Caenorhabditis elegans: one gene and its partners. The protein of the gene in region 3 interacts with the protein of the main gene of each other region in a pairwise test. Each region holds a gene or a part of one and is shown on either strand. Other genes may lie near its edges.

Evidence for each region.
Region 1: the proteins of par-6 (region 3) and noca-1 interact in a two-hybrid assay, tested with the Caenorhabditis elegans proteins (2 studies listed by BioGRID).
Region 2: the proteins of par-6 (region 3) and par-3 interact in a two-hybrid assay, tested with the Caenorhabditis elegans proteins (2 studies listed by BioGRID).

What each region holds. Positions count from the first base shown.
Region 1 is NC_003283.11:13,148,988-13,158,891, reverse strand, and holds the start of noca-1 (Non-centrosomal microtubule array protein 1), read right to left. Parts: upstream 5,974-9,904; 5' UTR 5,973-5,973; coding exon 5,805-5,972; intron 5,761-5,804; coding exon 5,622-5,760; intron 5,580-5,621; coding exon 5,404-5,579; intron 5,273-5,403; coding exon 5,192-5,272; intron 5,144-5,191; coding exon 5,046-5,143; intron 5,001-5,045; coding exon 4,912-5,000; coding exon of another isoform or gene 4,868-4,911; intron 4,107-4,867; exon of another isoform or gene 3,966-4,106; intron 3,570-3,965; coding exon of another isoform or gene 3,297-3,569; intron 3,247-3,296; coding exon of another isoform or gene 2,769-3,246; intron 2,625-2,768; exon of another isoform or gene 2,413-2,624; intron 2,109-2,412; coding exon of another isoform or gene 2,051-2,108; intron 1-2,050. Other genes in the region: dhc-3 (Dynein Heavy Chain), read right to left, coding at 6,426-6,626, 6,676-6,807, 6,857-6,989, 7,033-7,202, 7,492-7,950, 8,021-8,198, 8,241-8,450, 8,566-8,705 and 5 more. UniProt on the Caenorhabditis elegans protein: Plays a role in the assembly of microtubule arrays in the germline acting redundantly with ptrn-1 to control circumferential microtubule assembly along the body which is necessary for larval development, viability, and morphology and integrity of the epidermis.
Region 2 is NC_003281.10:5,660,271-5,670,102, reverse strand, and holds the start of par-3 (PDZ domain-containing protein), read right to left. Parts: upstream 5,871-9,832; 5' UTR 5,800-5,870; intron 5,742-5,799; 5' UTR 5,732-5,741; coding exon 5,564-5,731; intron 5,158-5,563; coding exon 5,068-5,157; intron 5,015-5,067; coding exon 4,952-5,014; intron 1,563-4,951; coding exon of another isoform or gene 1,350-1,562; coding exon 1,242-1,349; intron 1,164-1,241; coding exon 1,016-1,163; intron 574-1,015; exon of another isoform or gene 553-573; coding exon 1-552. Other genes in the region: F54E7.6 (uncharacterized protein), read left to right, coding at 9,018-9,145, 9,187-9,474, 9,655-9,742, 9,800-9,832. UniProt on the Caenorhabditis elegans protein: In cooperation with pkc-3, required for establishing cell polarity and regulating spindle orientation in the early embryo. Localization is crucial for recruiting par-6 and pkc-3 to the peripheral apical cortex and restricting par-2 to basolateral surfaces.
Region 3 is NC_003279.8:12,665,602-12,678,148, reverse strand, and holds par-6 (Partitioning defective protein 6), read right to left. Parts: upstream 8,770-12,547; 5' UTR 8,692-8,769; intron 8,524-8,691; coding exon 8,390-8,523; intron 7,858-8,389; coding exon 7,764-7,857; intron 6,834-7,763; coding exon 6,642-6,833; intron 5,895-6,641; exon of another isoform or gene 5,829-5,894; intron 5,793-5,828; coding exon 5,695-5,792; intron 5,626-5,694; coding exon 5,505-5,625; intron 5,455-5,504; coding exon 5,361-5,454; intron 4,301-5,360; coding exon 4,104-4,300; 3' UTR 3,702-4,103; downstream 1-3,701. Other genes in the region: T26E3.4 (RWD domain-containing protein), read right to left, coding at 9,415-9,471, 10,185-10,288, 10,922-11,041, 11,830-12,070. UniProt on the Caenorhabditis elegans protein: Necessary for apicobasal and anterior-posterior asymmetries associated with cell adhesion and gastrulation during the first few cell cycles of embryogenesis. Required for localizing/ maintaining par-3 at the cell periphery.

The DNA of each region.
Region 1 (9,904 bases), on a different chromosome or scaffold from region 3:
TTGGGGTTCATTCAGAAAGTTTATGCAAGTTGTTGTCGAGCTCTGTCATCTGAGACAACATTTACCGATTGGATAAAAGGTATTGGGGTTGAATGGTGAACGATGATGAATCAGGTATGACAGACAGGTCCCGTTTGCTTTGAGAAGAGTGCCCAAGTGTGAATAGGAAACAGGTGGACAACACAGGCAAGAGAAGGAGGGTATGGAGACGCCATTAGTGCCATTGTGGGAAGAAATGCAAAATGAACGAACGAACGAACTCTCAATTTCACACGAAACTACTAAAAGCTTTTATTCTTTACAATTTTACCAGTTCAATTGATGATCAAGAGTTTCAAAGGTATGGTGAATTTAATATTGGCAACGTTTAACTTACTCGGCAATTCCCGGCAGCTTCTTCCCCAAGTTTGGGCTTTTTCAGCTTCTTACCCAACTCTTGCCAACTTCTAGCCCAGAGTATGCCCAAGTCTTAGCCAACTTCAACAATTCTAGTGTAAACTCCCTCGCCCGAGTCTTGCCGAAGTCTTAGCCAAGTTTTGCCAACTTCTTACCCAAGTTTGCAGATGTAAAGAACGAACAAGATTCCGAAATCCCGCATGCGCAATGTTTAGCGTAAATCGACACTTTGTGTTTTGATTAATTTGTATTTAAAATAGAGGAATTTCATTGTAATTGAAAGAATTCACAGGAAAACTTGTCCCTTCAAAGGCAAATTCTAAATATTTTTCTCTGATGGCTAACATTGTTTAAAAAAAATGTACGAACAAAGTTTGCTTTCTATTGCCACTTTGTCTAATAAACCATTTAATTTATCTAAAAATAAAATAAAAAAGTTATCTTCAGGATTATTCTTCTCCTAGTCAGTCCAATAGTCAAATTATAGTCAGTCCAATCCTATGCATCAAATTTTGAATTTTTCTAAGACTGAACTGTTCCTTTGAAATGTAAACTTTTATAAAGACATGAAACAAACATGAATTACAGTAATTCTGTAAATTCTGAACTTAGAATCATCAGGGAGCACTCTTGAAAACAAATGAAATAAGGTATGTGAGAATACCGTATCAATCCGATATGTCTGATACTTCCTCAAAAATATCTATCAGAATATGAGTACTATATATTATTACTAGTGTGCATCTTTTCGCGCGACCATCATGGCTCAGCAGGTAAGACTTCGGCACAACGGGAAATGCGATCAAAGTTCAACACACAGGTATAAATTGGGTAAGAAATAGGCAAAACTTGGGTAAGACTTTGGCGACGCCTCGAGACGACGAGGCAGTCCCCGACTTTTTTCATTTTTGAGGCGGCGCCCAACTCTTGCCCAAGGTTTACCCAAGTCTTGGCAACTCCTTATAAATGTTTTTATTTTTTGGGCAAGGCTTGGGTAAGAAGTTGCGAAGCCTTGGGTAGGAAGCTGGCGGCAAACGCCGAGTAGGAATTGGCAAATAGAACATGGAAACGTGGCATGCTAGGATTCAAATCATAAAAGTCCAAATTGGGTTTGAAAAGCAGTTGGAAATTATGCCATTCATAAAATCTCCTAACGTTTCATTCTGACATTAAATGTTTGAAGCAAATTGCAGACAATGGAAAAGAGATATGAGTATACGCTAAAACGTCCGAATGATTTACAACTTTAAGATGACAGCTATTGCTGTTGTTGCTTGCCTTGCGCACAACCATTCTGCCGATCGAATGCGATACATACCCATTCGTAACAGACACAGTACCAGATGCTCCGTATCGGGAAGTACACACAGGTGCTGAGTTGTACGCAAAGTTGAAAAAAACCAAGAGTACTGACCCTTTCGGTGACAGCTGCATCAAGATGAAACGATTGAGAATAAAAAATGAACTGTAACATCTCTTTCCAAATTTTAGTGCCAGATGGATAGAGCCAGCTGTCACGAATTATTTTTCAAATGAACACAAAAACCTAACGATTTCATGTTCGATGAAGTAATATTTTTGGTAACTGAGCACAAATTGAAGTTGGAACGGTTTCATAGATTAACATATTTTTCCGGACAAAAATTAGACTTACCAGTTACATTTTTGATAATATTTCGTTTTCCTAATCGAGGGGACGGTGGTTGAAGCATATTTTTAGAAGTAAAAATTCTAGACGGTTTACTTTTTGCACATTTGGAATTGTGAATTCTTTTGTGTGCTGAATGTGATTGCAAATAGAAATAATTCTTTGCAAAATTGTCGAGGACTAACGGGGTGTGGCTTCCCCACCAGCTCTTTCGGTTCCTATTCTTCCTCGTTATACTGCACGTTTCAATCGGTCTATCATAATTCAACTTGTGCGTCTCCGATGCTCGGAGAAGTGCGTTTTTTGTGATTCCTTCAACTCATTAGAGAAGCCCGTGAACCCACAGAGATAACGCATGAAATCCAGAGGGACCGGACGACGTCGGCTGTTTCGGCCGGCGACCACACACACAAACACAAGAGCGCCGACGACACGTTATGAGCAGCCATTTGTCAGAAAATTATAATGAACGTGTGCTTCGCACGCACTTGAGCGCAAGACACAAGAGACGCATCAACGACTTGAGGACCCAATAAATCCACTGGGAATTGTTCTTTCGGCAAGAAACTTTTCAAGAAAACACATTTAGACAACGAGAACACTTGTCGTCAGTGTGGATGAATATCTTCACAATAAAGATACCTACAGTTAGATCAAGACATTGCATAAATTACAGTATCAGGTATACAGTTGCAATATATAATACCTCTAACTAAATCAATACCTGGAGAATTTAAAAACTGACGGAGTGACTGATTCTTCTGATATTTCGACATTCTATTGTCTACGGAGAAAATTCGACTGGTTGATGCAGAAGAAATCACTGATTTGACATCGTCATTGTCAAAATCAAAGTCATCAAATGTTTCATCGTCATTGGTCATCATGAAATCCTTTAATGTTGTCAAACTGGGAGAAGATGGTATGTACGTTTCCGAAGAATCCTCGTAATATAATCGTCTTTGTGACAACGAAGTACATTTTGGTTCGTCGATGTGCATCCCTGGTGATTGAACGTACATGCTTTGAGACATTAACGAATTCAGAGGGTCCGAACTTTTACGATACGAGATTGGAGGAAGATGACTTAGACTTCCATAACCAGATGAAGCAGTCGTATGTCTAACCCTACGAGGAGTACTAGAATTCGATCGAGAAGAATGTTCACTGCTTGTGTTGCTGAAGTAAATCCGTGCACATTCCTAGAAAGTGAATTTGAATGTAATGAATAAGTCTAGGAATTAGAACTCACTTTGCTCGAAAATTTTCTGGGTCTTGGAGAATCTCCATCTCCACTATCCGAACTTCTATCTTTGGGTGAAGGTGGTGTTGTAGAGGTCATTGCAGTGAGCGCAGTACCATACTTTGGACGATCAGGCATATCCTTCCGTTCCATTGAGGATGCTCTTCCGAGTGTTGAACGAATCGCTTTCGACAATGTTTCTCGTACGGATCCTCGTGTACTTCGAGTACGAAGCATCAACCGTTCTCCTAGAGACCCAGTTGAGACGCGTTCATTACTCATTTTGAGTATAATAACAGCAAATCTGGAAAAGAGCGAACAATGAGAGCTCGAGATAATAAAGATATGAACAGAGAAGTTGAAGAAGAAAGGTTTTTCGAAATGAAAAGTAGAGATGTTCAGGAGAAGAAAAAAACCAAAGCATGTATTGATACTTGCCGATGTTTTACACTGATGACAGATATTGATGGATTCGCTTGATGGATTTTGCAAAAATATTCACATCTAATTGTACTATCAACTCTTAATTTATGTAATTAGTCAAAATATATTTGAGACAAACATACTTTTTAAACGCAAAAACAAAAAGAAACTTGAAGTACATTGCTTGGAAGACTACTTTCAACTAGTTGGAAGAATCGTAATCAAATTCAAAAAAAGAAGGCGCGAAAATTCGGGCAGACACATATCGGCAGGTGGTTGTAACGCCCTGGCGTCTGAAGATGTGAAGACAACTGAAGATGTCACAGGATGTGGGCACATTCTCAATGCATTCTATACAACTATTATACCACATTCATAACGCTTTATGATGGAGAATGTCAAAGATACAAAACATCTGGTGGGATACTAACTAAAGTTACATTATTGAGAATATCATTGAAAAATGTAAATTTAATTTGGATAATTATTTTTGAAATATCAAAACGGTAAGCCATATTGATTTGAAATTGGCCAAACTATTTTGTTTAGTTTCAACTTATTTTCTAGGAAGTCATCTTTAAAAAAATCTAACTTTTCGAATTTTACCGAAAGCATGAAAGCATGCAGGAAGGTTTGCAAATTGAAAAATGCAAGAAATTGAAGAAGACAATAGAAACATTGAGACGAGGAAAGGTGAGATCTATGAGTTTATAGGAGGTCCGTGAGCACAGAAAGGAGGAGCAGACAACTCGAGTGACCGGGACAATAGACTGACAAGCTCTGATAAATGACCACGACAGCCGATGAATCGAGAAATGACCAGCAGATATTAAGAGATAGAAGAATCTACGACGTTCCCTTCTGAGATAAAAGTGCATAAACACACACCTGACGTCGATGGGGCTAGATGTAAATTTAATAGAAACATAAGCCTCGAAAACAATGGTAAGCAATACACAGCAGTTAAAAAGAGTTGGACAATTGCATATCGCATAAAAATACAAAATATAAAGAGGTCAACCCCGATTATCCAATAGTACAGATTACGATACATGTAGAGTGGCTACTTTTGCCCACTTCCCCCAACCTCAACCCATTATTAACATTTGTCAACACTTTAAGCTTCCCGTTTTCGGTGCGTCTTAATCAAATAAACATCATGCATAAGGAACACATAATGTTAGTACAAAGGAAAACCTACAACGATCTTGATGTATTTTATCAACTTCCAAGCATAGTCTCTCCGGTGCGACAAATGTAGAATTTCCGTTGAAAGCGACTCGGTTCCTTCTAAAAATGAAATTAAATTATCAGAACTTATTGAAAGAGTTTTACTTTTTTGGAATCGGGCGAAGGGACCCTCCTAGTATTGGTGTAAGCCGTCCTTTCAGTTGATTATTCGTTGCAGATTTTGATGAACGGACACGGATACTCTGTAAATTTTAAACTAAAAAAAATGATTTAATCATTTTGATGCTTACGTCAATCCGGATACTGTCGTCATTGTTGGAAGATGATGAAGGACTGAGAGTTGAATCGTTGGAGCGGTATTCATGAGCTTTCTGAAATTTTCTCTTGAAGAACTCCATTATTTGTTCGAATTTCATTACGACGAGTAGATTGAAAACGAGAAATGATTCGTTTTTTATCGATTAAATCTACACGCCGACGTTTTAAATTACAACGTGCATACCTTACGTGCCTTCACGGAGAACAAAGGAGAATTTTCGTGATTGAAAGGTTCAAAAATTGCACTTCTTGGAATGTGTTCAACTACAGGAATAGGCGTTTCTGTTAAGTTATCCTCGGTTTCTTCTGGAATAGGAGAAGGCGTTATTAAGTTAACGCTTCGACGACGACCAGTGTCACCTTAAATGGAACATTAAAAATGAACGATTAGCTCCAACTTACTGAGAACATCGTCATCTTCTTTCACTTCTCGTGTACCAAAATCAATCGGTGTAGCTCGATTTTGAGATGCAGCGGCTTCAAATGAGACGTCGGAGAGGGGAAGTGAAATAAACTGTGAAGTGTTCAGATGAGCTTCTTCCTGAAAAATAATATTTTAAATGAGAAAATAATTGGCATTATAACCGGAATAGCAACACTCTGATTTAGAGATTCGTCTGCAGCGCCTTCAGAGGAAGATCCCGGTGAATTTTGAGGAGATCTGTTCGAACATTCTGCGGTTCCAGCAGTTATTGCAAGCTTATTTTTATCTTTTTTGTGCATGCAAGTCAAAGCCAATAGTTGTTTGAGCATTCTGAAAATATAGAAACTTGTTAAACATATTAGTTGCGGAACGTAAAAAGAAAAACACGATTTTGTTAAGAACGAGAAACGATTTTTTTTGAAACTAAAAAAATAATGCAAGCGCGCTCTAACGGACACGTCAATTGCGCGGGGCAGTAAATTTTAAAGTGAGACAAGACAAAGACGAGCAACAAGTTTTCGGAGATAAAATGAGTTTTCTTTTTTATTTTCTGTTTTACAAAGTTTGTATTTTATAAAAAATCAGTGCCGTACGAAACGAAAAAGATAATGCAAAAGAAAAACAACGTTTATATTCAAATATGTTGAAGAGCGGCATTTACGTGGCGAGACCAAACGCCCGACTACGGTAGCTGTAATATTTACGGAGAAAAAATAATCATGTTTTGGAAAAAAAACACTTTTAATATTACAAAAGAACCACGAATTCATTCTTTATAAAATTCAAATCTGTCTGGAAGTTGTTACAAATGCGCCACGAAGATGCCAATGAGCTATTGGAAATTGTGAATGAAATGGTATTTGAGTCACTGCGTTCTGTGAAAATGGACAAATAACTGGCAAGCTTCTTGGGTTCCCTGCTCCGGTTCTTTTTGTGGTCTTCAGAAGTACAGTTGTATATTGGGCTTGACGATTTTGAGGTTCCTGAAAATTAAATTAATTGCTCTAGTCTTGTTTAAGTAGTTCTATGTACTCGAATTTCTCCATTCACAAAATGAGCTGAAATCAGAACGCAATGCGACATTTTCAGCAAAGGAACGTCGGAATCTGATCCTAGTTTGGGAAGATCATAGTGTTCATTCACAAATTCGCCGGTCACCATCACCTGGAAATATTAATGGATATTAGAAAATCTAAGCAGAAAATCGGCTCACTTCTGAAATTCCAATCTTATATTTCAAACAAAATTGCATTTTCAAAAAAGAAACAATTTCGGTGAGATTGTTTATTTTTCTTCCATCAACTTCTCGTTCGCCATTTTCCACATCTAATAGCCAACTTCTTGATCTTAAAATCTAAATTTTAAAGCGGAATTATTCATGTTACCAACTCAATCTTCTTAGCGATTTGCTGAGTTGCTCCAATATTCGGCTCAAAAAGTATTTTTATTTTTTGTGTTACTTTCTTGTACATCAGTTCACGACATTCTCTAGAGTTTCGAGCATTGAATCCACAAAGGATACTTTCTTCATGAGATTGCATGAAATGCGCGAAATCTTCCTGAAATAATTTTTATAAAATACTGATGTTTAGGGTATTTATTTCATGCCTATCCACATGCCTATAGGCATTGTAACTACCTATAGGTCTCGAGACTCAAAGGAACCGAAATTTTATTTTGTACTAAGTTATTGGGCTATATAGGCCACCAGTATGCACGTGTATCGTTCGTGCGGGTACGAGGCAGGCACAAACGTCTTCTTACAATTAGTTAGTCCTGCATCGTATACCGAAAACACTTTTTTGCGTGTAAGCCTTAGATAAAGGTTCTAAAAAAGTTTGAACTTACAAAGTTATGATTATCTTCTTTAATGATAGTTTTCAAAAGAGTATCTGCTGGAATTGATAAATTAGCTTCAACAATCCATTGAATCATCGCGCTGATTATATTCTTTTGAACCTGGCATCTTGTTTTTGGGAAGTATATTGGTTCAATAACGTTTACTTTAACTTTCATTAAATCTTGAAATTCATTCGGCTGATCACTCAAATTTCTCAATTCTTGATACAGCTTCATCATTGCCAATAGATCCGCATCATCAACTACTACATTGAATTCTGGATCATAAAGCCGTCGTAACTTTAACCCTCGATGAAATGAAATCAATCGTATTATTTGAATTCTTTGACTTTCTTCTGATTTGTCCAAAGAACTTCTCAATGATAAATTTGCAAGAATTCTACGAATCTGCTGTGCCAATGAAGTCGAACGGGAAAAATAAAAGCGGTGGGATGAGATTTCGATAAGCTGGAAAAAAGTAGATTCAGAAAAGTAAAGTTATTCTGGATTATATGTAGAACAAAATAATACGGTGTACCTCATCAGAAGCTGAAATCTCGTCGGAATATGCAACAATAATTCTAAATGAAGAATGAACAATCGGCAAATTCTTCAACTTTTCAAAAATGATTTTCAGTTTGCAAACTGTTTCTTGATCGCTTCTATTCACATTCAACAGAAGCCAAATTGGTTCATCGACAAGCTTTTCCAACTTTCTGAAATTACGAATATATTTCCCAAAAGTAAAAAGTACTCACAAGAAAACATGATCAAGAATTGAATAAACCCTCCAATTGGCATTTCTAGTCACTTGTCCAAACTGAAGAATTGTTGTGTAGACTTCTGCATCATATTTTAAAAGTATCGGTTGTTTTGGCTCAGATTTTAGAATAAATGATGAAAAATTCATGAAGCTATCCATACTGATTCTATCTTTTATTTCCATTTCAATTTTATCCACTTTGTAGCTGAAAATGTGTTGAGTTGGAAAAAACTGCGTCGAAACAGTTCATTTCATCGAGTTCTAATGTTTTCTTTTGGGATCCCTGTGCTCAGTTGCGCGACTCCATATTTAATACTCACTTCATTCCATGAAATAACAAATGATGAATTATCATTTTATCGTCCCAGGCCAACATATTGCGTAAAAAATTCCAATATAATTCTGATATTTTGTGACCAATCTCACTAAATTTAATGTCATTGATGTGATCGAAAAGTTTCTGAAATTTCAGATTTCCGAGGAGAAAATTAATGTCAAAAGTACCGTGTTCAAAACATTGACCAGAGATTTCAAAGAAATTCTATAGAATGGGTCAAAAAGATAAAGTGAGTAACACATTTTAATAATCTTCATCGAATAATCTATTGACTCTGACATTCTTCCTTCAATTGCTCGTAAAGAAGTTTCGATCTGAAATTCACATTGAATTTGTGTTCAATAATTTTGTAGTTCATACTTCTGCAATTTCTTTATTTCTTGCTGTAATGGAAGCTTGTAGATTTCTGGCTTCTGCTAATAAATCAATTGCTCTCTCATCATCCAAATCTTTGGATCTTCCCAATAAGTCCAACATTTCATTTTCGGTGTCTGCAATCGAAACTATTAATTCCGGAAATTCAAATTCAACAGCTCACTTTCCATCATTGATATATCATTATTTCGAGATTCAACCATTTCATTAAAATGATTCAAAGTTTCAAACCAATTAGATGAACCCATTGTTTCACAAATCTCATGTCTGAGCTCTTCATCACTATACCGATTATCTATTACTATTGAATTATGCAAAGTTGTTTCTGATGCCCTAGTTCGGAAGAACACTCGGAAATTCTTATTCACTTCATGGTGGGCGTTCCCAATTTTAAATACCTATAATTAAATTCCAGTTTACCGGTTTCATTATGTCATAGACAACTCACAATTTCATCTTCCATCTGACTATAATATTCAGCTTCTTCAATTTCTTTTACCATTCGAGTATTTTCCATGCAGTTTTCAAACAAAATCGATGAATTCAATGTTAGACATTGTTGCCTCTCAACTTCTGTCCACTTGTTTGTTACAACGATTTTCTCGAATTTCGATTGTAAAATTTCAAATGCTCGATTATCATCATTCACAAAGCAAATCGGATCTTCCACAAGCATAACCAGAGTCTTTAGATCACATGGAATAGTCACTTCCAGTCTTGGGAATAATGATCTCATCGTTTTGCGGAGTTCTTTCTGAATTAAAATATTCAAATGTTATATATATCCTCTTCAACTTTCAAAAACAAAAACTCACCTCTCTCTGATCAATTGGAAGTTTTCCAAAGACATGTAATGCCAAGGAGGATCCAACAGAATAAGGAACACTGAGAGAATCTTCATGAGTGATATATGTTATCTTATTCTTCCATTTATCCTTCTCTCCACT
Region 2 (9,832 bases), on a different chromosome or scaffold from region 3:
GCATGGGACCTTGATCAATTTTCACTCGAATCATCTGACTTTTCGTCTCTTCTGCTGGATTCTGACTTTCTAGTTGATCGGCGATTCTGTCACGAGCATCCAAAAGAGCATCAGTTATCCTTGATTTTCGATCAGAACCTCTCGCAAATCGTCCAGGATTCTTATCATAATGTTTCCTACGTTCACTTTTCCGTTCATCCTGCTCGGCGAGCTTCTTCTCAACTTCTGGGCTCAACGTAACTCTGGATTGTTTTACAGGCGTCGCTTCTTCGGTACGACTTCCTGAAGCTTCAGTTCTAAGTGAGGATCGCAGAATCGGTTGATTCATTGGTTTTCCGTCTATAACATCCTCCGATTGTCTGCTCGGTTTCGGTGTCGATACTCGAAGCCCAGATTGTGGAATCTGATCAAAACTGCTCACTTCGACAACCGAGTCGCGTCGTTCTTTCGAATGTGTTGGCTGTGGCGCAAAGTCTCGAGAATTGCTTCTTGCAAATCCGACATTATATGGAGATGCAGCACGGTGAGCCTGATGGTTGACAGTTACGCTTCCTGGAAATTGGAAATTTTTGAATAAAAAATTTGAAAAATCCAAGGAAATTTTCAAAAAGTGTAACGTTGAAAATTTGATTTTTTTTTGATTGTTAAAATTAATTTCAACTAATTAAAAAATAGATTGTATTTCTAGGAAATTTCAATTTTTTTCTAAAGTTAACAAAAAAAATTTCTGAAAAAATCTAATCTTTTTCAGCATATTTTGGAATAATTTCATTTTGCATATTTTTGAATAAAAATTTAAAAATACTGTAGATTTCAATCCACTACTTTTTGGTAATTTACAATTAAAAATAGAGTTAAACATTATTTTAGTCATTCAAAAATGGTGAATTCAGTTCGTCGTTTTTTTCTTAACTTTTATAAAGTTTTTCAGTTATACATATTTGAAAAAAATTGGAAACGCATAAACTTTCAGCTGATTCGGATAACTTAAATATTAAAACATTAAAAAACTCACCAAAAGCACTCGCAATCGGTGTTGATGGTCCTCCATCGAATTTCCTAGCATATGGTAGAGGTTGTGCATAGTGATGCTGTTGTTTTTGAATTTGAGAATACGTTGGAGTAGTTGATCCGCCATTAGCTTCATCAGTGATTGCCAGGATCTGAAAAATTATAATTTCGACTTTATATATATCTCGTTAATGCTCTTCTTCATCTTCAAATCTTCGAATTTTCCGGACCTGATCATAATTCAAATCAAAAACTTCTTCTAAAACATCATCCATATCGAGAATTCCACCATCAGACGCGCACTCGAGTCGGTGTACGTGTATCCGATCTTCGTTTGCCTGAAAATTTCTCTTACTAACCGTAACATTATCATTTGTGGTGGTCATTTTGGAGGCAGGATAGCTCGGCGGCGGCTCTCGATGAGCTTTTTGTTGCTGTTTCTGCTGCTGGACGATGACTTTTGACGGCGGTGTATGCACATGGTTAAAGTGATAGGGTGGTGGTGGTGGAGGAGGGCAAACGTCATATCGACCACCACGACCGTTATGCATGTGCTGAAATTATAGCCGATGCGTGTTTCAAAACATGATGACGGATGAATCCAAAAAGAGAGAGAGAGAGAGATACAGAGAAAGAAAGAGAAAACCAAACAATGTACCGAGAGCCTCAAATAATAATAATAATAATAAAGAATCTCAACCGGTATTTGCCCAAAAGAGGTTGATGTCCTTCCTCGGCAGTTCGAAAAAAGAGAAAGAGAGACACAGAGAGAGAGCACGGTCATTGCGCATACCACCTGCGTCTCTCTGAGAAGCCACACTATTTTCACCTCATACACTTGCGTAGGTGAAAAAGCGATGGAGGTCTTTCTTTTTATGATGAACGACAATGTCCGTAGAAGGAGGGAATGATGAAAAAGGACTGAGGTAGAGATGGGAAAACATGAGAGAGAGCAGATGTTGAGTTGCGATTAGTAACAAGAAAAGAGAAGTGTACCTTGTAATTGGTACGTGTAAGCCGCCTAATTAGTGATTTTTATCCAGATAACGAGAGGTTTATTGACTTCAAAAAGTGACATTTTTTATTGAAAAACCATTATTCTGAGATTTCAAGCCTTTTTTCAGAATTTTCATTCATTCACAATTAAAATGTCAATCGGTTTCCAACGTAATTTTTTTGCAAAATCCGATGTATACAAAATTATATTCTCCGGAAAACTATCAAGAACTCTCATGATTCCGTGCAAAAAATCACGGGGAAACTGGAACTTGTTTTATGTATGCGAGAAATAATCGCATTATGAACACGATGACAACAAAAATAATGTATTCAACAATTTTGAACTAGAATCATGGGAATTGAAGAATAGAGAATAGAAAGGGAGATGGGAAGAGCCGGCTGGTACGAATCACAGATGTGACGAGGGCAGTGTGTTGGAAATTTTATATTCGTTTTGATTCAGAGAGGGTCAGATGGAACGGAATTGATGTTGTAAAAGGCTCGTTTGAGAAGTCAGAAAAATGCAATAATTTTCCCAAAAACCGAAAAAGCTCACTGTTTCAGAATTTTTTTAAGGTGATGTGTAACGAGCGAAAAACACGAGGAAGCGAACAGACACACACAGAAGGTAAACAAGGTGTACTCAACCGAGAAGCAGAAGCGGAAAAAAGGAAGAGAGCGAAGAATATAGTACTTTTCGAGTGGTCATAACAGCTACAGTACCCATTCATGTACGAGAGGGCCCGAAGCTGCACCATAAAAAGGCATCGAGCACGGGTAAACTGTGAGAACAAGAAGAATACAGGATGACTGTACGGAATGACTCATATCATTTATGTGTGCTCTTCGCTCCAAGACCCCCCAACAAGTAAGCCACGGTGGGGTTGCGCAAGGGCATCAAGAAGAGGAGCGGCTGAGAAAAAATGACGACAATCATCAGATCGAACGACAAATAGAAACAGAAACACTCGGAAGAGAAGGGAAGAGAGATAGAAAGGGGAAGATGTCTATATACACATCATTCCTAACCATTTCTTCTTATCTTCTCAATAGTTGGTAAAATGTCCATGATATTTGTTCTCGTCGCGAACAACAACAACACAAGCTGTTTATCAGTAAAGAAAAATACAAAAACCACCCGAAAAAAAGCTGCTTTCAGAACAGATGATTCGTAGTGGCAGCGGAGGATGGCGATAACATGAGATATGAGTGTTATGACATTGCATGTAGAATAGGGGGTGCTTTATTTCACGATGATGGCGAGGAGAGAGAGATAGAGATAGATGAACAACTTTAAGTGCTGCCAATTCACATGTTCTGGAGCTATTCGGAGGCCTTTGGAGTCAAATACAATAAGTTTGAAAGGAACAATAATTCAAGGTTTTCACATCACAATTTTCATTTTTCAACTGAAATTCAAAACTTCCACAATTATGAATAACGCCAAAGTTGTTCACAATTTTTGAATTGAAATTCAAAACCGAACAAAAACATTCCAAGGTGACTCACCATATTTTTTTAGTCACACGAAAACTTTGAGTTCTGTTCAATTTTCTTTTCGGCTGGGACTAAACACAGCTTTACATGTTACATGACCATAAAAACTGGATCAAATTAGTAAATGGAAAATTTATAAAGTCTGATACGGCTGAAAAAAAAACTCCTGCCTTTGAACCGTGCTCATCGTAATATCAAAAGTGTAGGCGGCGGGTTTAAAACTGGCGCCCAACTTCCTAACAAAACACTAATTTCTGCAATTGACTCACACTTTCTACTCGTACTCCTATTACACAACGTCCAACTATACATTCCATTTGATTAATTTCAAGTTGGTTGTTGCTGCTGATAATGATTATATCGTCCTCAACGTCAAATAAATCTAAATCAACAAAACTGAGAGAGAGAGAGAGAGAGAGATAACAAATCTTAAGCCTTCGAATAAATTCTTATCAGATTTATTTAGATCAACTGCCTGCCTACAGCGGAAAACTTAATTTACTGCGAAACGAATGCTACAACCTGCGCGAACAGGAAGCATGATGATCGACGACGATGATGATGAGGGGGAAGAGATTCGTACAAAATCCGCCATGAAGTGAACATGGTGAGAGACCAATGCATGTTATATAAACAAAAATCTACCAAGCGCGTCGAAATCAATCCGTTTATTGCAAATTGCAAAATCCAATCGGGACGAGGCGACGGCCTCCGGAATTTCCATGCCGCACAGCGTACGCCGATTAAAGTCAAATTCGACCAGAATCCATTTTGGAAATTAATCCCTCTTTGGCTAGGATTCGCTAGTTATGGTTGGTGGTCCAAGAGGAGAAAATTGCCTTCAATTTGTAGAGATTTTCAAGAAAATGAAGCGATCATTGGATATTCAATCAAGATAAATGTTTTACTGCTTAGTAAATATAAATTGGGATGATAACCACTAAGTCTTAATGTTTAAAGTGAGAAGATCAGGAGTAACTAAATAAAAATCCAAGAGCACCACAGTTCAACTCCACAAAATAGTAAAACTTTTTGACAGTCACTTATGAGAGAGAATGAAGAAATATCTATTATTTACAGTGTTGTGTGCCAACAACACACTGTAACACTGTCTGCGTCTCTTCCAAACTTTCTTTTTCTCCAAAGCGGAAAAGGAAGGGGATTATTTGGTGAAAATGAACAGAGAAATGGTATTCAACACATCCTCATCGGTGCGGCCTTGTTCTCAGCCGAATTAACCTCTCCGAGAAAACGAAAGGGGGCTGCTGCTTCTTCGGGAATGGAATAATATTGGAAGAGAATAAGACGAAGATAAAATTGCGTGCTTCTTGTTGATTTTCCTTTCATTATTCCCGACTGACTGTATTCATGGGAAAATTTGGGATACGCTTTTTTGCCTCCAAAATGACCTTTTTTCTGCAAATTTTTGGAGAAAAAAAATTACCATTCCCCTCGCTTTTTTGTACCGAAGAAGTGCTGCGTCTGCTAGTTGACCAACTGTCTGATCCTGAACAAGAAAAATATTAAAAAATTGATTGAACATTTGAAAAAAAAGCTCACCGATTCCTTCCATGGTACCACAATTTTCATTCGTCCAAATTGAACAGTGACTCGGCGAGTTCCATTCAGTGGAAGCGATTGATATTGGCTCTGAAAAATTAAAATATTGCTTATAATTATAAATTACAACCAAGGTTTCAAATATTCAATGGATTTCACATTTTTTAAAGTAAAAAATAATTCCAGATTTCGGTGTTATAATCGAAAAAGCCAGAAATTTCAAATTTGAAAAGGATCTTAAACTTTCCAACTCAAAAATAGAATGTGTACAAAATTCGGATTTTGACTTAAAAATTTGAATTTACAAAATCATTTTAAAATGCGCATTTTTGCAGTATGAAAATTTGCAGAAATGGAATTCTCAGCAGTTCAAGCATTTTTTTGAAACAAAAATCGGGTAGAACTGTTGACAGTTTGAATTGAAGATTTCTGAAGCGTGAATGAAAGATAATTCAAGATTTTTTCTCCAATTTTTAAGAAAAAAAAACTTCCGCACTCTATCAAGTGTAGATATTGAGGAATTCGCGTAACCACTCGCAATTCCGTACTGTTGCATTCGTTTTTTCAGTGTCGATTCACCCTCGTCGCTGCTTTTACAGCTTCCCGATGGTTCGCCACCTTCCGGACACGATGTGCTAGATGATGACGTGGATGAAGCCGACATGATGATCGATCTGAAAATGAGCAGATATAAAGAAAAATTAAATGAAATGAAAAGAAGTTTTAACAAACCAATCAACGTTTCTCCTCCCGAGAGGCTCTCTCGTTTCGCACCTATTTGCTCTGCGAGACCTTTTCTATCTGCAAGAAAATATATATTAGAGTGATAAGAAAATGATTGGTGTGTCTGTGAAGTAAGTAACAGTAAGAGAGAAAGAGCAAATGATTTAGTGTGCTCAGCGATGGAAAAAAGTTTGAATTTAGCGGGAAAACATTAAAATCTTAAAAATTTGTCCGAATTGCCCGCGCCAATTTTAAAAGGATACAAAAATTAGCTTTTTAGTGATTTTATTCTTGAGTTTTCAAATCTGTAATACAAAAAATTCAGCGTTTTAAGTTTTGTTTTTGCGCAGACAAATTCAGCTCGAAAAACAATATTCTGAAAAAAATCGGCCCGATTTCCGATTTCAATCGGATTTTTTCGTGTTTTCAAGATCTGAATAGCTTAATTGATCTTCTGGACGAGAATTAGTTGACGGAATGAGAAAAAACTCAAAATATCGCACATAAATCAATAGACAATCTAAAAATTTGAAGTTTTTGCAGATTTTAATTTTCAAAAAAAATTTCCCGCCATGCGATAGGTCTCGCCGCGAATGCGTACCGTACCCATCTGTTCCGAAAAATGATTACTGTATTTCTCAATTTCACAAGTCTACAAATTTTTTTAAATTTTATTTAAGAAAAAGCGGCCTTAAAACTGAATTCGCAGTCATCGCATTGCTCATCGCATAGCTAAATAATAAATGAATTTTTGATATCAAAACAAACAATGAAACCTTTGCTGGGAAAATGGGAGGACATTTCTGGAAGACAGAACGGGAGGAAGGTGGTTATCCAATTACATTTTTGGATTCTCTCTACTCTATTTTCTCTCTCAGTGCTCACCAAGGATTTCCAAATGTGCCTATTTTATTTCCACTTGGGCAATTTGTCAAGTGGAGAAGTCACACAGAGGATCCTCTAGAGAAGATGATGATCCATTATAATGAGCATGTTGGAGGAGACGAGTTTTTGGAAGAACACCGAGTTGTGCTGGGATGGATTTGTAAAAAAACAGGAAAGACTTGAAAATAAATTGCTCTACTTTTTGGGGAAAATTCAATTTTTCTTGGATTCGGAAAACCTTATTGTCGGTTTGTGATTTAAAATCAGACGCGGAATTTTGCGTTTTTCCAAAAATACGATACGAAAATGTTTTGTTAAATACATATATGTGGGGAACGCTATGAAAATTCAATGAAAATTCTTGAGCAACGAAAGTTTGAAATTACAGTACTCCTTAAAGGCGCAACCCTTTTCGCATTTAACAACAGTTTGTCGTGTCGAGACCGGGTACCGTATTTTCGGCGTAAAATAAACTAAAACCGACTATAGGTCACATATTGTGTACCATTACACTTTCTGATTGGCATTTTCCTAATGTAAAATGTCAAAAAAGAGAAGGTTGAGTCAGTGCGCACCAGCTGTATTGCACAAGAGTTAGAGAGCCATCACCTCATTGCATATGCCAACTTGACGCCACGACACACATATTTCATGAGATGGATTGGAGAAGCAAAATGACAAATTATAGTCGTGTCAATAAGTTATATGAAGTGGGTGCTGTCCCGACTATTAGTTGAGCTGGCAAACGACGAAATGAACAGAGATTGGCGCAGCGGTGCGCGATTGGATATTAGAAAAACAGTGAGTTACCAGCGGAGCTCGCGCGGCTTGTCAAATGCTCGGAGAGCCTGAATGGAAAAGCTCAAACTGAACAATCAACTTTTTGCACTTTTCTACGATTGCTTTTCCGAAAGTTTAAAAATCTACAAGAAAGATATTTTTAATTGCCTTTTATCGAAAAAAAAAGAGCAGGCGAGGTATTGCCATCGACGTTCATACCTCAACTTAATGTCAATGAGACTCATAGGTCCGATTGACCGAGACACTATTTGTGTAGAGGTATGCATGAATAACACCGTCTCTCCTCTCTTCGCCGACTGACCTTGCTCGGTACTTTTATGGGCCACAACACCAAACCGTTCGTTATTTGTGAAAGGGGCCTTAGCGGGCGGGTGATGATGATGACGGCAATAATCATGACACAAAAAAAAGTTGAATTGCATTCCGAATGTGGAAAACTGTGGGATTCTTCCAATTCACGAATGAGAAAGCATGTGAGAACACACAAGGATGAGTAAAGGATAAGAAGGTTATCAGCTGGCATACAAAATGGGTGCGGCTTTCAAGTTCGCTGTGAAAACTTGTCTTTCACACAGTGAACAGTGAACAGAGTTGGAGCATATGATTTCCAGGTTTTTTTTCAGAGGTTAGACTTCAAAGACTGACCCAAATAAAATGTTTTCTCAACATTAACATTTTTAAAATATTGATTTAAAAAGTTAACTCACGAAAATCACGCCGAAAGAGATTTGAAATGTGATAAAACTAGAAAAAATCATAAATTAGATTTACAGAATACCATTCTGGAACCTTCAAAGATCATCTAAACAGTTTCTTGACCGAAAATTTATTTTTAAAAACATAGTCACTCTACATAAAATAAGCTAAACTTTTCTGTACAACAGTCGCCCTGAACAACTATAAAAATATAAAACTTATTTGTTGTAGATTGAATATTAATGGCACTTCTGCATTTCAAAAGTTGACATGTTGCAACAAAAAAAACAGGTGCTCATGTCTTTGACAAAAATTACTATTAATGCTTCTGAATTCAAAATTTTTAAAATAACGTAAAATTTCAGTCAATATCAGTCAACAAATCCTCCAACACCTCCACCAAAAATAAAATAAATCCAAAAAACTGAGCCAAAAGAAAAGAAGGTTTCAAAATCGAGTTTAAACTTTCAAATCACAGAGCCGTATGCATAGTAAAATAGCTTGCGAAGTTTGCAGCTAATAAAAAAAGGCACACGAGAAAGAAACATATGTGAGTGAGAATGGCACTTAATGCGATGCGGAAACGAAGGGATGTACCCGACGCTTCCGAAGGTCAGTAGCCGACGGATTGAGGGCGACAGTAAAAAGAATCGAACCAGAAACAAATAATGACCGGGTGAACACGAACAAGTGGCCTCAAGATGACTCCCTCGCTTTGATGACCTTTATCACTACTCACACTACAAAAAGCATATGCTTCCAAGGAGAACCTGTTTGTTACGCAATGAATCGCCTCTGCGTTACGCAATATTCTGTTTTTGGGTATCAATCGTACAAATACTATCATGACATATTATTCTGTGTTTCTTATTTTTCTATTGAAATTTTCTTCGATTAATTGCGAGTTTATAAGATTTAAACGCCAAGCTGCTTTGGCCACAAAAGATGGAATTGATATTCCTTTTACCTTGAGGTATGCAGCAAATAAAGTTTTTCAAAAATTAATTTATTAAGGTCAACTATAACATGCCTTACACCAGGGATTCGAGAAAACTTATGCCTAGGTCCAAGGGTTCAGGTTTTGAAAGAAGAGAGAATTGGACTGACCAACAGAAAAGGTGCCACGTATGGATATCACAATGGGGTAGATGTTCGGCTATTGAGAAATCATAAGGTACCTCTTATCAATGAAGATACTGAAATTGGTCGGAGTATCGGAGCAACTGTTGATGTGACCAGAGATGATGGAGCATTGGAGGTTGGAACACGGGACAAGATTTTCCAAGTTTGGAAGCAAAACAGGTGAAAAATTAATAATTATGGGGAAGGCCAAAGTATTTTCATTCTAGAGGCTTATAATTGGGTTTACGTTGTAAAAATCTGCATTGATTTTTCACGGGCGTTTAAATTATCAAAGTTTTCAGTTTTCTAACCATATTCCACACAACAACAAAAACCAGAACCAGAAAAATTATTTTTCAGAGGAGGATTAGTCGAATGGGATAGTCAAGGGGCTGGGGTCGACATTGGATCGAGAGCTTCCGTGGCAGATGATCTCGTAAAACTTCGGGTAATTACTTTTTTAGCACCTAAAATCAAAAACACTTTTTAAACGATTTAATTACAGCACACGATTTTCGGTGTAAACGTTGGCCCAACT
Region 3 (12,547 bases):
CGAGCGAAATTTTTAAAGTGTTCAAAAATGACTTAAACTTCAAAAAATTAACATAACTATTAATATTTAGAAAATTTCAGACTATTTGTAATCCCTGTGATCCAAAAATTCCCTCTTGATTCCGGCGAAAACTTGCAAAAGTGCACAAATCGAGAAAACCAAGGAATAGTATATGCTTGCAAGTATGCACACACAACGAAATGCAAACAAATCCATTAAATGGCGTCGTGGGGGCCCTCTCCCCGCCACATTGGAAGGCGGCTGGGTGACTAAAAAGAGCCCCTCCCGCGCCTTTTTGTTTTCTCTGACCTATTTGGAAATGGGGGTAGAGACGCAGAAAAACATGTTTTTCGAATTGAAATTGCACATTGAGCACTTTGTGAGAAAGGATTTTAATTGTCGGAGGTTTGAGCCAAAAATTGGCAGTTTTGGAAAACCAGTTTTCGGTTTTTCTTCATATTCAGATTGTGAGTCTATGATTTTCGAATTCAGCACTATCGAATTAGTCTAGTCACATTAAAAAAAAATTATTAAAAAAGGTGCCACGGTGGGGACTCGAACCCTGGTCTTGAGATTGGTAGATATGAAAAATCCCACTGCGCCATTCGGGCAATATTTCGAAAATTGTCCAAAAATATTGGAAATTGACCATTTAAAAGAATCTTAAACCTATAAACTGTGAAAACATACATTTTCAGGCATTTTTTAGTTTGGTAGGGTAAAAAACTGTGAAAACTGACTTATCTTAAATTTTTTATGTTTTTCGAGGCTTTTTGCAATATTTTTCTAATTGAGACCCTCTCAATTAGTCTAGTAACAATTTGAAAAAAAAGCTACCACAGTGGGGACTCGAACCCCGGTCATTAGATTTTCAGGGGCGTTTGTCGAAAATCCCACTGCGCCACTTGTGCAATTAAAAAAATAGGTGTAAAAATTATGGTGTGTCCATAGTCTGCGGAAAACGGGAATTTCCCGCGTGCGGAAGCGTCCATAGTCTGCGGAAAAAAAACAAGGAGTTTCTCGCTTTGTTATTGGTCAATTTCAAAATAGTGGGCGTGTCCAACCAATTAGAGGTTGTAAAATTTTAAGCTGAGCAATGGGAAAGCGAAACAACTGCAGACCACGCCTACTTTTTTGAATTTTGAGGAAAAAAAAGCGAGGAAACTCCGGTTTTTCCGCAGACTATGGACGCTTCCGCACGCAGGAAATTCCCGTTTTCCGCAGACTATGGACGCACCATTAAAAACTGCTCTAAAATGTAAATTTCACATAGTTTTTGAGTGTTTAAGCTTATGAAAACTAACAAAAATATTTTTTTCAGAAAATATTAGGCTATCATAAAAAAGTTTTTTTTTTAGTGTTTCAGACATTTTCAGTACAAAGCGCTGTAATTTTTAAGCTCAGATTGTATGAATCAACCTATTGAAACCTAGAAAAAAGAAGTTGCCACTGCCGGGACTCGAACCTTGGTCGTTAAATTGTAATGGGTGTTTGTCGAAAATCCCACTGCGCCACATAAGTTAGTTTAGGCATTTTTAATCGAGATTTTCAAGATGTTTCCGGAAACAAAAAAAATTCAACGAAAAATTGAGCTTCTGCTTCTGCTGATGCTCATCGTATTGTGGTTTAGAGCTCCCATCCTCTTCTAAACCAGTCTGTGTCGTCTTCTGAGACCCCTATGTATATGGTGTGAGGGGGGAGCAGCGACTCCCCCCCCCCCCCCCCCCCCTCCTTTTAAGGCTCTGGCTGGACGAAAAAGTGTGGAATTGGGCGGACACGCAGCGTGTTGAAGGAAGTGCATCGATTTACGAACTCCTTCTTTTCTTTTTCCTCATCTTTTCGTGCATCGGAAGGCTCAATGTGCTTCTGCTCCCCCTCTCCCGCTTCTTCCAACACATTGAGCCCCACCCCATGGTGGGGTCCCCCCATTGTACACTTTTTGACTCTTGAGATATTCAACACGATTAATGTGAGAGATAGACATAGTGAGAAAAATGAGCAAGAAAATTATTTGCAGTTACGGGGGTTCGAACCCCGGTCTTTGGGATTGGATTGATAGGGGGAGCAAAATCACACTGCGCCATTAGTTGCCGCTTTCAAAATTTGCCGAAACTACGATTTTTGAAATCAGCGCACTCGAATTAGCCTGGCCGAACTTTGAAAAAAAAAATTGCCACAGTGTAGGCTCGAACCCCGGTCTTCTGACTGGAAGGCTTTTAGTGGAAAATACCACTGCGCCACTTGGACATTTTTTTTTGTAAACTGCACAGGAAGTGTAAAATTCTGAAAACTACTATGATTTTCGAAATTTGCGCACTTAAATTAGCCTAGCCGAACATTGAAAAAAAAAGTTGCCACATTGGGGACTCGAACCACGGACTTCTGATTGGAAGATTTTCGTGGAAAATCCCACTGCGCCATTGGGACAACTTTTCGAAAATTTTCAGATTTTTCTGTTTTTACATAAAGCATTTTAAAGCTATTTTTACAAAACTATAAACGAAAAGTAAACAAAAAAGTGGAAAATTTAAAATTTCTGAGCAAGAAAAAAAGGAGTAAAAATAGAAAATTGTCGGGAAGCACTAACCCCACCCGGGTGGGGTGTATTGTTGTGCTCAAAAATTTATGAGAACCCAACAGAGCGGGGCCAATATATGAAGCCTCCCCTCTCTCTCCTCGCTGTTGGGGTCCTAACGGCCGCCGAAAAAAAAAATAGTGAGTGAGAAGTGGAGCGTTGTGGAAAGGGATTTGAGTGTTCTCGACTTCTCGTGTGTTTACGAGCGACGTGTTGCAAATTTTGACAAACTGACTGACATGTGTCACTGGGGCAAACTGACCGGAAAATGAGTGTGTAAGAGAATTATCACCTGAAAACACGCCGGATTTCAGAGGTTTTAAGTTTGGAAGTTGCTTTCAAACTCGTTTAAATACGAGTATAAAGGCAAAATTTTGAATTTCAAACTGTTTTTCAGAAATTTGTCCGAGTGGCTCAGTGCGATTTTCGACGGCTACCACTCACAAGACCAGGGTTCGAGTCCCCATAGTGGCATATATTTTTATTAGAGTGTATATGACTAATTCAAGAGCGCTGAGTGTAAAAAACAATGTTTCCCAAGCTGAAAAGTGTAAAAATGTCGGAAAACTACGAATTTTCTCATTCTTGTAGGAAATCAACTGAAACTTCAGATTTGCACAGATTTTATAACATTAAATCATCAAAAAATCACTCAAAGGTAACATTTTATTACAGACTTTTCATTACTGGGCACTTTTCAAAAATGCTGTACAAATGGCGCAGTGGGATTTTCGACGAAAAAGCTTCCAGTCAAAGGACCGTGGTTCGAGTCTCCACTGTGGCAAACTTTTTTCCATAGTGTTGTTAGGCTAAACTTTCAATTCTCAACCCAAAAATTATAATATCAATTCCTAAACAGCAGAGAAAAACCTTGAAAAATAAGAATTTGAGAATAATCAGCGGAATATCGGCTGAAAATGTAGATTTTCTCAGTTTTTAAAGCCTTAAATCGTCAAGAACTCAATAAAATTCAAATTTACCCGAAATTATGTCATTTCTGGGAAATTGTCAAAAATGTCCAAATGGAGCAGTGGGATTTTCGACGAAAAAGCTTCCAGTCAAAAGGCCATGGTTCGAGTCCCCGTAATGGCAACATTTTTTTCACAATGCTGATCTCTCAAAGCTTGAAATAAATAATTTATTCTCACTAATAATGTGAATTTCAGGGGAAAAATTGTATGTCGTGTCTGTTGTCAAAAAATTTGAGCCAAAGTTCGAAAAAAAAAGTATGGGCTCAGAGAGCTCTGAAGGGGAAAAATCACATAAAAAGGGCGAAAGGAAGGCACATTTTGGGGCGAGAAACGGGGGAAATAAAAGTGAAAATTGTGCGCAAAAAAGTGAAGAGAAAGCCGACAAATTTGATTAAAAATTAGGAGAAAAAGGGGAAAATAAATAAATTAAGCGGTTTTGGTTGTGTGTGTGTGTGGTTTTAGCGAGAATATAAATAATATAATTATGTATAAAAATGGTCACATTTTGTGGTTTTTTTTTCTGAAAAAATCGAGGAAAAATGGCTGAAAAGAGTTTTTCAGTCCTCTCCACTGTCCGAATCATTTGCGTCGTGCTGTTTCGGATGATAACTGCCGTCGGAGCTTCCGTTCATTTTCATCGGGCGCTGAATTCCACCTGTAGCGGCTGCGGTGGCGGCCGACATCTCACTGGCGTTCGGTGTTCCTTGTTGTGACGGTCCTCGTGACAGTGTGTTTCGTTGGTTGGCAGGTTTTACTGGAAAATATTGGGATTTTTTGAATTTTCAAAAAAAAAATAAATTTGAAATTTTTTTTTCGAAAAAAAATTTCTGAAAATTTTGTTTTTTATAATTACTACAGAATTTAAAATCAGCTCGCTGAGAGCTTCCAAACAAGTATAATCATGACTAGGCTATGTTTATTTTGAACATTTTCCGAAATTTTGGGTCCCGCCACGAAAACTGGGTTACTGTAGGTTGGGATTTTAGTGGGGGACCCAGTTTTCGCGATTTCATTTAGATTTTTCGATTTCAGCTTACCGAGCTTTCAAATAAGTATAATTATGACTAGGTTGGCGGACATTTAAAATTTTCCAAAATGTTGGGTCCCACCGCGAAAGCCAATTTCGTGGTCGTGCCCCAAAATTGAAATTTTAGATTTTTGTTAAATAATTCAACTTCCGCTCGCCTAGAGCTTTAAAATAAACATAATCAAGACTAGGTTATGCGAAATTTTAAATTTTCGGACCCCACCACGAAAACTGGGTTACTGTAGGCAGCGATTTTCGTGGTGATACCCAATTTTCGCTATTTCAATTAGATTTTTCGATTTCATCTTACCAAGAGCTTCAAAACTAGTATAATAATGACTAGGTTTGGCGAAAATCTAATTTTTTCCAAAATTTTGGGTCTCATCGCGAAAATCAGTTTCGTGGTCGGGCCCAAAAATTGAAACTTCTCAAATTTTTTAGTAAATTCGTTTTCAGCTCATCAAGGGCTTTCAAATAAGTATAAACACGACAAGATTGCGTCACATGCGAAAATTTTGGGTCCCATCGCGAAAATGGGTTACTGTAGTTTATCATTTTCTTGGCGAGACCCGAATTTTCCAAGTTTGACAGAATATAGCCATGATTATACGCATTTGAAAGCTCTCGGTGTGCTGAATTCAAATTTTCTAATGAAATTTTTTAAAAAGTGGGTTCTCGCAATTTTCGCGGTGAGACCCAATTTTTTTCAAAATAATCTTAACCTAGTCATGATTATACTTATTTCAAAGCTCTCGGCGTGCTGAATTCAAATTTCCGGATTATATACCAGTAATAATCAAGTTATGAGCATTGGCGACCATCATATCAGTGACCTGATCCAGCGTCTTTCCGAGAACCTCAATTCCATTCACCTCGAGCACCTGAAAACCGGAATTTTTAGATTAAAAACTCTGAAAATTCCATTAAAAACCTCGTCATTAACACCAAGAAGGCCTGTGGACTCGGCGAGCCCACCATCGACAAGCCGGGAAATGAAAATTCCTGAAACTTTGACGACGCCTCGTTCTGTCACTCGAACCGATGTTCCGTCACTGAAAAAAGAATTGCAGATTTTTGGGATTTTCTGGCAAGAAATCTGAAATTTCCAGAAAAATCGATACCGAATATAGAATCCAAGTGGTCGTTCTTGTCCGTGCTTGCAGAGACGGACACGGCGATGAGCTTCTGGCACAATGTCCACGTCGATGATTGCAGAGACCTGCAAAATTGAAAATTTTTAAAAATTAATGGGAAATTTGAATTCAGCTCGTTAAGGGCTTCAAAATAAGTATAATCATGACTAGGTTTTGCCAATTTTGAAAATTCTCCTAAAATTTGGGTCCCGCCACGAAAAGTGACGAAATTTTAGAAAATTACTGCGAAATCTGAATTCAGCTCACTGGGAGCTTTCAAACAAGTATAATGGAATGACTAGGTTCCGCGAACTTTGAAAATTGTTGGTCTCGCCACGAAAATGGGATTACTGTATGTTGGCATTTTCGTGGTGGTGGGATCCAATTTTTGAGATTTTTATCAATATTTTTGAATTGGGAGCACTGTCAGCTTTAAAACTAGTATAATCATGGGTTCCGTTAACTTTGAAATATGCGGGTCCCACCGCGAAATTGGGGTTACTGTAGGTTGGCACTTTCGTGGCGGGACCAGATTTTTGCAATTTCATGAGTTCAACCGAATTCAGCTCACCGAGAGCTTTCAAATAAGTATAATCATGACTGGGCTCCGGAAAATTTGAAGATTTCCAAAATTTTGGGTCCCGCAGCGAAAATTTCCTTCGTGGTGGGACCAAAAATTGAAATTTTCAAAATTTTTTCCGGAATTTGAATTCAACTCATCAATAGCTTTCAAATAAGTATAATCATGACTAGGTTCTGCGAAATTTGAAATTTTTGGGTCCCATCACGAAACGGGATTACTGTGGTTTCGATTTTTCGTGGCGAGACCCAACTTTTTTCAAATCCATCGTAACCCGGTCATGATTATACTTATTTCGAAGCTCTCAGCGAGCTGAATTCAAAAATTCCACTTTTTTCGCTGTGAGACCCATTACCTGTCGAAAATCTTCGGGATTCGAGATTGAATAACTGCGTTTCGGTGGTTTTTGTGCCATAAGTGATGAAATTCCCTTCCATCGTTTATCAGAGTCTGTACCATAACCATATTTCTCTTCCCATGATTCACCGCGGCGTTGAATGAGCAAACGGAGCAGTGGGCGAGCCGATTCGAACGATTTTCGGAGGTTCTGCAAAAAAAATAATGGTAGTTTTGGGATTTTATCGATTTTTGGGATTTTTCTAGGAATTTATCGATTCTTTTTGTGATTTTTATTGATTTTTTGGGGATTTTTTACCGAATTTTTGTGATTTTTCAACAGATTTTTATCGATTTTTTATCGATTTTTTCCGATTTCTTGGGGTTTTGTATTGATTTTTTAAAGCGATTTTTGAGTTTTTTTGTAATTTTTTATCGATTCTTTTTGTGATTTTTATTGATTTTTTGGGGATTTTTCACCGAATTTTTGTGATTTTTGTTTCAATTTTTTGAGACTTTTTTCGATTTTTTTAAATCAATTTTTTGTAGTTTAGGACTTTTTATCGATTTTTTAAGATGTTTAGTGATTTTTTAGCGAAATTTTGTGATTTTTATCGATAAGTGATGTTTTAGTAATTTTCAGCATTTTTTAGTGAAAAATATCAATTTTAGGTCATTTTTACTCGATTTTTCTCGATTTTTTCACCGAAAAAATCAATTTTCTTCAGTTTTCCCTACTAACATTCAGATTTTTATAGACTTTTTATCGATTTTTATCGATTTTTTTTTGAGATTTTTATCGATTTTTTGAGTTTTTAAATCAATTTTTAATTGATTTTTTGTGATTTTTTTCGACTTTTCTGTGAGTTTTCAAATCGATCGATTTTTTGTCCTCGTAGGAGACACCCGAATATTAAATCGATTTTTTTATTATTATTATTTTTATTTTTTAACGATTTTTGAGCTGTTTTAAAAATCGATTTTGACTAACTTTAAGCTGAAAAAATCAATTTTCGAGACATTTTAATTGAATTTTTAGCATTTTTTAGTGAAAAATATCAATTTTATGTCATTTTTACTCGATTTTTTCGTTTTTTTTTTCACTGAAAAAATCAATTTTCTTCAGTTTTCCGCTACTAACATCGTCATTTGTGATTGGTAGAAGATCACCGCCAGTCGAGTTGTAGCACAGTGTGAATTGGACACTTTCCAGGTGATGAAGCTTCTCGACAAGGCTGAAAATATCGATTTTTACTTGAAAAATTGAACTTTTACGGGAAAATTGCTTCAAAAATCGAGTTTTCAGGTAAAATATCATTTTCCGCTCGTTTTTGGTAAAAAAAAACACAAAAAAAAAGACGAATTTTTCGATTTTCCGGCTGAAAATGGCGAAAATTCGATTTACGCATGATTTTAGCCCTAAAAATGCCGATTTTGGCCAAGTTTGGTTTGGAAAATAGATTTTTTAGGGTTTTCAAGGTAAAAATCGGAAAAAATCTGATTTTTTCAAGTAAAAAAAATCATTTTCCGCGTATTTTAGGACAAAAAACGCCGAATCCTTGGATTTTTCAGCTGAAAATCGTTGAAAATCCGATTTTCTGAATTTTAAGGGATTTTATGCCTAAAAATGACAATTTCAGTAACTTTTGGGTAGAGAAATCAATTTTTAACGTTTTTCTACGTCAAAAACATGGGTTTTGACGTATTTTAGGTAAAAAAAAAACGCTGAATTTTTCGATTTTTCGGCTAAAAATGGCCAAAAATCACCTCCGGAACCCATCGTAAGAGACACCAGACGCAGAATGCATTGGTATTGAGAAACGACGCCATTCAGAATCAAATTTCGATTTGACTTGAAGTGTTGAATGATGATTTTGATGGTAGGAGCCGTTGTAGGACATCTGAAAATTTGGATTTTTCGGGTTTTTTGAGCTGAAAAACGCGATTTTTAACAGTTTTCAGCTGGAAAATTGGAAATTCCGGCTTTTTTTGAGTAGAAAAATCGCATTTTTCGACGTTTTCCATACTTTTAAGCTGAAAAATTATGATTTTCGCAAATTAAAACTCACAATTACAAGTTACAGGTGCAGCTCCGCGTTGAGCCGGAAATAATGCACAATTTTCGTGGGAAATATCGATTTTTTCGGCTGAAAATTGGATTTTTTCACATTTTTGAACCTTTTTTAAGTGAAAAAATTATTAAGTGAATAATTTTTGAATTTATTAATCAAAAATCGGATTTTAAATAATTATTCAATGGAAAAAATTGAATTTTAATTTAAAAGTTAGAGTTTTGAACAGTTTTCAACGGAAAAAAAAACTGAATTTGAGTTGGAAAATAGACATTTTTAGGAAATTTGAGTAGAAAAATTGAATAAAAATTCCAAAAAATGGCAATTTTGAACATTTTTCTAGCGGAAAATGAAATTTCAAGCTAAAAATCGCATTTTTTGCGATTTTTACAAAAAAAACCTTCAAAACACCAAATTTCCGCTGAAAATTGAGTAAAAATGAGTCACAAAACTCTCCAAAAAAGTTTGATAAAAACTGATGACTCATCGCCAAAAATTTTCAATAAAAAATCGATAAAAAAGCTGATAAAAACAGCGAAAAATTCAAAAAAAAAGGTTAAAACTAAAACAAATCTTTACGCAAAAAAATGGAAAAAATTGAAACGAAAAACCGTGAAAATCAACAAAAACTGGGGGGCAAAAAAATGGATAAATTACGGGATTTTTCGCCGAAAAAATGGCGAAAAATCACAGAAAAATGCAATAAATTGAGGGGAAATCCTATTCTTCATCGTCTTCTTCTTCTTCTTCGGAATCCATTTCAAGACCTTCGAGTTCCTGGAAAAAATGGGTTTTTTTGAGTGGAAATTTGAGATTTTTTGGGGTTTTTTAGGCTAAAAAATGGGATTTTTGGAGGTTTTTTATGTTGAAAATCGGAAAATTTGATCATTTTAGGCAGTAAAATCGAATTTTCATCTTGAAATTAATCAATTTTATGAGAAAAACTCGAAATTTCGAACAATTTTTGGAATAAAATTGCAATTTTTCGCGTTTTCAAGTAGCTTTTCACTGAAAAATGTGGGAATTTTGGCGTTTTTTCCATAGAAAATCGGAATTTTAGTGAGAAAATTTCAATTTTTTGATAGAAAATATGAAGTTTATCACAAAAAATTCACTTTTAAAGTGGAAAATCGTGAATTTTCAGCCAAAAATGCCAAATTTTGTAAATTTTGAAGCTTTTTCTTCGGAAAAATCCAGATTTTTTGCATTTTTTTTAGCTCAAAAACAGAGTTTTCCATGGAAAAATAAATTTTGAGTAAAAAATGTCTAATTTTTCAGTGAAAAAATGGGGATTTTAGCGAATTTTTACATTTTTCCAGGTTTTAAAAGGGAACGTTTCAAAAAAGAAAAAAAAATTTTCGGATTTTCACCGAAAAAAACTCGAAAATCGACAATTTCCAATGAATTTGCATGTTTTTCATGCAATTTTTTAATAGAAAATCGTAAATTTTCAGTAAAAAATCGATTTTTCAGTGGTTTTTTCCAGAAACCTCATTATCAAAGAGGCTCTCATCAATTTCGACTTCATCTTGTGCTCCAATAAGTGTGACGTCAGAGAGATTGAGTGTAGCGTCACGAAGGAATAGTTGACGTCCTGGAAAATATTGGTTTTTTTTGAAATTTTCAGCGATTTTCAGACGGAAAATCACATTTTTTGTGAGATTTGGAGCCAGAAAATGGGATTTAAATGAATTTTTCGCCTGAAAAAGTTCAAAATTTCGATAATTTTGGCGTAGAAAATCGCAAGAATCGGGATTTTTATGATTTTTTCCACTAAAAAGACGGAAAATAGCATTTTTTCGGGATATTGCGAGTTTTTTTGTGAATTTTTCTGAAAAAATGGGGATTTTCCGATAATTTTAACTGCAATTTTCTTCAATTTTCCAATTTTCCGGTTAAAAATCTCTGGTTTTTTACGTTTTTTCGGTTGAAAATTGCACTTTTTAACCATTTTCATGCGTAAAATAGCCTTTTTCTTTGATTTTTAACTGAAAATCTCGAATTTTTTGCATGAAAACCGCCAATTTTTACGTTTTTCCAGGCGGCAACTTGCAATTTTTGGGGTTTTCCGCCCTAAAATCCTCATTTTTCCGCCATTTTCCATGTTAAAAATCGCGATTTTTACAGGTTTTCACTGAAAAATCGCAATTTTCAACGTTTTTCATGGAAAAACTGCGATTTTCTTCAATTTTCCGGCTCTAAAATGCTCAATTTCACAGCTTTTCACCTGTTAATCGTCCAGCCAACGATGCCAATCGTTCTTTTTCAGCTGCATCAATTTCAGCTTTCCGTTCCTCATCAAATCTGTCCTTCCAGGCTCGGAATGTGTCCGGTGTCACTACAGTACCTGGAAAATTTGGAGATTTTTGGCCATTTTATAACATTTTCTTGAGTTTTTGAGACATTTGTTCAGATTTTTCAAGGCTTTTAGGACATTTTTCAAAAAATTCGAGCAATTTTGAGTGCTTTTGGAGCATTTTTCTCGAATTTTTTGTACTTTTATAGCCAATTTCGCGAAATTTTGTGGAATTTCAACATTTTAAGCACTTTTCCCTATGAATTTTAGGTCTTACAGCGAAAAATTTAGATTTTTACAAATTTTTCCGTATAAAATCGTAAAATTCGAAGATTTTTCACAAATTTTCACCGATTTTTGTAAATTTTCGGCATTTTCTGGTATTTTCAGCTGTTTTTGCGCAATTTTCCCGCTAATTACATGAAATTCGGTGATTTTTGGCCGTTTGGGCGCGTTTTCAGCCCATTTTTGCCGAATTTTCGGCACTTTCATGCTATTTTTGATGAATTTCAGCTCAAAATTCGTTTTTTAGCGATTTCGATGAAGAAAATCGTGAATTTTCCTATAAAAATTTAAAAATTTCACTGAAAATCGGTGATTTTTCGAGTTTTAAGCGGTTTTGAACGTATTTATATGAATTCCGCTGTTTTTCGACAATTTTCAGCAAATTTTAGCGGATTCTAGACGAAAAAATTGAATTCTGTGGGGAATTTAAGCTGAAAATCACTTTTTTTGCAATTTTTCAGGGATTTTTTCCTGTTTTTGGGGATTTTCAGTGTCTTTTGATCAATTTTTGTCCATTTTTCTCCGATTTTTACAGATTTTCAACCATTTTTTACCCTCAAATTTCTTGCGGCTCTCGGCTTCTTTTTTCTCTTTCTCAATTTCGACTTTTTCCTCTTTTGCACGTTTTTTCACATCAACAAGCTCTCCAATTTCATCTTGAAGTGCTGAAACAATTGCAAAAACCATAACCATTCCGAGATTTTCTTCGGCAACAGAACGTAATTTATCGATTGATTCGGCGATTCGTTCGGCTGTGAATGCATCTTCAATTCCATTCAGAGTTATTATTGGAATCTGGAAAAAATTGGGGATTTTTAGGGCAAAAATGGCTTGAAAATGAGGATTCTGATGGGGAAAATCTGAAAAAAAAACAGGGAAAATTGAGATTTTCAGCAATTTTCAGCCTAACAATGGCTTGAACTCATGGTTTTTAGAGCAAAATTGGCTTAAAATTAGACATTTTCAGCAAATTTCTGAAAAATAGGTTACTTTTGGGCGTTTTTAGCCATTTTTAGCACAAAAAATCGACAAATCGGATTTTCGGCTGATTTCAGAGAATTTAACCGGTATTTTTGCTTTTACTGATTGCAATTAGTGAAAACCGTCAATTCTTATCCTTAAAAATGTTCCTAGTGATTTTTTCCTAAAATTTCTCCTAATGATTTTTCTGTATTTTTCAAGCAATTTTGGTGGTTTTCTACTCTTTTGAATAATTTACGAGATTTTCCAGCTTTTTCCAGTCTAAAATCGCATTTTCTCAGATTTTGCCGG